Tribolium castaneum: one gene and its partner. The protein of the gene in region 2 interacts with the protein of the main gene of each other region in a biochemical or structural test. Links are inferred from orthologs where the notes say so. Each region holds a gene or a part of one and is shown on either strand. Other genes may lie near its edges.

Region 1 (2,525 bases), on a different chromosome or scaffold from region 2:
GAGTAAATAATAATATTATCAGTTTGCACAAGGGAAATTTCTCTATTTTAAGGACAAGCTTTGTGACCATAAAATCTACAAATCCGACACGCACTATTTTAAAACAGTCCAGTGCATTTTATTACCTAGCTATCGTAAAGTACGCTCAGAAAATGAAATACACAACTAAACGGAACTTGAAAAAAAATCAAATTTGAGACTCACCCAATTGTTGTCCTTAAAAACCGACATTCCGTTTCTTAATTGCTTCACCATAGATAAAGCATTTTAATCCACAAATTTGCACAAACTTTCTCACTTTGAAAAAATCAAATTCTCAGACAAGGCCAACCTGTTGGTTGGATTCGCACCAAAACAAAATATTAGCAAAGTCCATACGACCGCACAAAATTAATCAGAGCAGAATAATCGAGCTTATATGGTCGATTTCTCAAATTACGCCCAATTTACTTTAATAAGAAGCGGCCGTTAGTGACCCTTGCCTCTCCAGTTAACCTATGTTGAAAATTTACGTTATGACGCGCATTGTTAATCAACAATCTAACAACAAACGTGAAAAAGCACTGGCAGTGTCGCTCTTTCGACGATTTGTAACTACCTGCCGCGAAATGCGGACTTTCTAATTGGTAGGAAACGACCACGTGGTACTCGACATCGTTTCACGTTGTTGGGAGAAGCGCCTTTTTGTCGCTAAAAACCAAAAGGGGGGGCCTTTGCCCCCGTGTCTTTAAACAATTCGGTTTGGGCGCAATTTTGCAAAAATGGGATTGTTCGAAATTGGCGCGCTCCAGGCCGGTCGGGCGAATCTAGTGACTTTGGCGTGTCAGCCTGACGCAACCGTTACAACTTCACGCAGTTTCCCGGTCTGGACTGGAGTGTTTGGACGTATTATTTTATTTAATTTAAATTAATACAGCCCGAAATGACTCAACAAACGTAAGTTTTGCTTTCTTGTACTAAAAAGCGTTGAAATTGGACCGTGATTGACTCAAATTTCGGTTATTTGTCTCGAATTTTTTCCCAACAACGGCCATGTTGTGGCATTGTGTATAATCGATTCTGGAACATTCGAAAATAATCGTAATTATGATTGCGATTTACGATGAATGCTTTAAACGCGGTTGAATATTTACATAAAAGCACGTTTTTGTGATTGGCGACGTAACGGTTGGTGTGCTAAAATGGCGTCTCTAACCTCACTTTTAGGTTACCTCCCCCAGTGATGTGGGCCCAAAGAACTGGCGTAGTTTTTTTAACGATAAATTTAGAGGACTGTAAAGACCCCGATGTTAAGTACGAGTGGTTGCGCTGTGAGGAACGAGTGGTGACGGGTTCTGTTGCAGATTCACGAAAGACTCTGTATATTTCAAAGGCATTGGCGGCGTTGAGAAGAAAACTTACGAAGTCACAATCCCCCTGTATAAAGAAATAGACCCGGAAAAGAGCAAAAGCTTCAATAGGGGCCGGTGTATTGAAATAATCTTAGTTAAGGCAAGTTCAGACGATTCCTATTGGCCTGCGCTGACTTCTGATAAAAAGAAGCACCATTGGCTAAAATGTGACTTCAACAAGTGGCAGGACGAGGACGATTCGGGTGACGAGGGCGTGGGGGGCATGGGCGGAATGGGCGGCGGCGACTTCGAGGAGATGATGCGGCAGATGGGAGGCCTGGGGGCCGGCGGGGACAAGCCCTCCTTTGATGATTTAGAAGATGGTGATGGTGCTGATTCAGACGATGAACCTATTCCCGATCTTGAATAAGCACTCGAATTACTTCTTTCCTTTTGTATCTTTTCATTTGTTAAGTTAACAATAAAATGTTTAGTGGTATCTTCGGATTTTATTTCTTTGTTCAGTGTTTAAATGTGCTAAAGTTTTCCTTCCAACCGTTCATCATGTGTATTATCAAGTATTAAGTGAATAAAAAACATTTGTAGGTACCAAGGTGTTTAATTTCATTCAAGCTTATAATTATAATAAATTAAAACTGGACAATTCCCTCAAACTCCTTTGCTTTCCTGTTGCTCGAACTTCGGGTATTTGCCCTCAATATCGGCCCATGATTTTTTACTGTACGACAAATCGTGCAAAACTGTCGCAATATCGTCCAGCTACAAACAATAGATGGTGAAACCACTGCTTTAATTTCGTCCGAGAGGGAGCCACGTTACAGTTACCATGGTTATGTTAATTTGGTAACTATGGTAACAATACATATGGCGCCATAACTACAGACATATAAAGGTTAGGATACGAAACAACGTACAAATAAAACGTTCGCGAACTCGATAGTTCCATCAATATCGCCAGAGGGAGCAGTTGTTCCACAAACAAAAATGGTATTTATATAACGATTAGCACAAGGCAAACTAAAAAAATACAGACAGATAGAGCATTAAATTATCATTAGTAAGAAATGAAAATAATGCAAAAATTTTGACGTAAACAATAGTTAATAAAATTACAAACTTAAACCAATTTGCACTCCGCCCCATATTTTTCAAAACGCTGTGAATACAGTTATT
Region 2 (2,883 bases):
CCAGTTTTTCCCTAATATCTGTTTTTTTAACAGACGCCTGACCTGGATGTAGAACATCTACAACCATCTGTTTGCGACACAACAATCTGTTGGTCATAAATTTGCGAGTGCGAATTGTGGCTGTACCTTCAGTCTGAAAACAAGAATTTGGTAATTTTGTGCGAGAGGTTACAACAAACACTGGAACACTTTGGCCACCTTTCCACCATACCCCAAAATTCAAGTTTATCACAGAAATACGATAAATTACCCAAATTATGGTAAACAATTAACCATGCCGAACACCAGTATAGGTTAGGTGAAAAAAACCTGTCAAAGCCGAAAGTAGCCCCATAATTTTCACACAACATTAATCCTGGCCACATTTTTCACAAAACTGCACTTAATTTCATTGAAATAGTGGAAAGATGACCAAACTTTTTCCAGATTTATTTCCATACCATTTTGATGACAAAAATTACTGCACGAAAAGAGCGCCCTCTACGAAAGTATCGAGTAGGTTAAAAACACCGACAAGTAAAACTACTGTTCGTTGGAGCTACGATTTAAACAAGTACCGCCTCACCTTGAGCCTTTCTCTGATAAGAATTTTTAAGCAATTATCGCATAACTGGAGAGAAATAAATCGAAATAGTGCGAGCACAATGTACATCTTTTATTCTTTTGTAAAACATAAAGGTGTATACAATATAAAAACATTTACATGTAAAAATACACCAACTAATTATGTAGTAATACAATATTTTTAAAATGGCAATGTTTACACAGCTGTAGTTTATCCATTCCAATCGTTAACACACTTGACTTCCATAAGACACTTTTTTGAAAGACAATGGCACGTATATTAAATATGCAAAAATTAAACTAACGATTTAATACAGTGTGATATTTCTCATGTGCCTTAATTACATACGCTAACACGTTGTCATTGGTGCTTGGCTTACAACTGATTGAAAGTATATACAACTAAACTATCAAGTGGCCTGTAACCTTAAAATCCTGTTGGCAACACTGACTGAATGATACAGTGTGGCCAATCTAATTTTTACAGCCACAACACATAAATTGGCACTTACTACGCATAACATTTACTTAAAAATAATTAAACGATTGCACTGCACATACTTGTGCATTTGGAATGATACAACAGCCAAAATAATTTACTAAAAAGTGAAAATTTCCTACAAAACAAACATCACTATTTCTTAGACCTACTTTTAGTAATAAAATTTAGAAAGCTAAAAATTTGAAAGACACCTGTGCACAAATATGCTAAAATTAATCGAATTAAGTAATTACGCATTTATTTACCCTTTGTAAATAATCCCTTAATAGTATTTTTACGTTTTTCTTGTTTTTGGAGCGTTTCATTTTCTTCCAATCTAAAAATTACGTTTAAGGTCATGTTTGGCAGTCTTCAAGAACACATCGTTTAGACTATTTAGACGCGCATTGAGCAAAAAACAAAACTAAGAGAGATCGGAATATAAATGGAATGAGCAAGTAGCTCAACATTGAACTTAATACAGCTACTTGATAGAAATACATGCTATGGTAAAGTCGGTAATACAGAACCCTACCCTTCTTTCACCCTTGTGAACTGTATCAACCTTGTGAGCATACTCATCACGCAAGGAATCTGTTTTTGTTGGTGCATTGTTGGCGAATCGGGACAATTACTCTCAAAATCGAAAGCCACACGTTGGGAAACAAATGTTAGGATTGTGCCTAAATCGTAATCAAAGCCTTTATTTCGCAGCTCTTCACACAAGGCTTGGATAAACCACGAGCCTCGAGTGGTGTTGCGCCACGAATAATAACCTAAAATAAAATAATAATTATTAATAATACGAGAGCGAAAACACAAGCATAAAGTTCGAAGGCAGTCGTTATGCAACGAGCGTATGCGAGTGTATAAGTGTTATTAATTTTTTTTGTTGGCACATTTTAATTTAAAATACGTTGCCATGGAAAGCGTGTTTTAAAATAGTGTTTATAATCTAGGATTCAGGTATTGAAAAGAAGGCTTAAATGTTACCAACAAAAAAATAATAAAAGTTAAACAATAATAACCTTTTACAGTTGAATAAACCACGAGGAAATCAGCCTGTGCTGGAATGCGATACGAATCGATTTCCAGGTGACCATCAGTTTCAGTTCTTGATAAAATAACACCACCGTCCAATTTATCGCCTTGACAAGCTTGCAGGAAGAAAATTTTTGGTTTTCCTAAAATTGTTGATTCAATGACAATGACAAAAAAACTGTAGAAAAATTAAATATGTTACCGGCTAGAGAGGGGCACCGATCGGCTGCAAAATAACTCCAGAGCAAATCAGGTTTGTATTGTGTGTCTCTGGCGTACAGAATTCCGGTGTCGCCATGAGTGAGAACGGAAATGCACAAGCAATCGGAATCGGTGTGATCATATTTGGCAGCTAAAATAAATTATAATATAAAAATTTAATTATAAGAATCTGTGTTATAATATAAGTAAAAACATTAATACATTTATTAATAATACGAGTGCGAAAACACAAGCTTAAAGTTCGAGGGCTGTCGTTATGCAACGAAGGTATGCGAAGTGTTACTAAAAAATTTTTTTTTGTTGGAACATTTTAATTTATATGGGAAGCGTGTTTTAAAATAATGAAAACATTAATTTAAAACTAATTAATTAAAATTATAAGAATATGTGTTATGTTATAAGTAAAAACATTAATATAGTTATGATTTTTAATAATACGAGTGTGAAAACACAAGCTAAAGTTCAAGGGCTGTCGTTATGCAACGAGCGTATGCGAGTTGCATACCAAGATATTCGAGAAGTGTTATTAAAAAAAAATTTTATTGGAACATTTTAATTTAAAACACGTTGCTATC

Evidence for each region.
Region 1: of the proteins of caspase-1 (region 2) and p23, one has a biochemical effect on the other in vitro, tested with the Homo sapiens proteins (2 studies listed by BioGRID and IntAct). The link is inferred for Tribolium castaneum from reciprocal best matches to the Homo sapiens genes CASP7 and PTGES3.

Annotation. Positions count from the first base shown.
Region 1 is NC_087398.1:11,190,551-11,193,075, reverse strand, and holds the end of p23 (prostaglandin E synthase 3), read left to right. Parts: intron 1-778; exon of another isoform or gene 779-922; coding exon of another isoform or gene 923-936; intron 937-1,206; coding exon 1,207-1,293; intron 1,294-1,343; coding exon 1,344-1,761; 3' UTR 1,762-1,830; downstream 1,831-2,525. Other genes in the region: GlyRS (glycine--tRNA ligase), read right to left, coding at 2,001-2,111. UniProt on the Homo sapiens protein: Cytosolic prostaglandin synthase that catalyzes the oxidoreduction of prostaglandin endoperoxide H2 (PGH2) to prostaglandin E2 (PGE2).
Region 2 is NC_087394.1:11,887,195-11,890,077, forward strand, and holds the end of caspase-1, read right to left. Parts: intron 2,439-2,883; coding exon 2,289-2,438; intron 2,230-2,288; coding exon 2,074-2,229; intron 1,822-2,073; coding exon 1,581-1,821; intron 1,383-1,580; coding exon 1,304-1,382; 3' UTR 635-1,303; downstream 1-634. Other genes in the region: RpS24 (small ribosomal subunit protein eS24), read right to left, coding at 1-133, 441-443. UniProt on the Homo sapiens protein: Thiol protease involved in different programmed cell death processes, such as apoptosis, pyroptosis or granzyme-mediated programmed cell death, by proteolytically cleaving target proteins.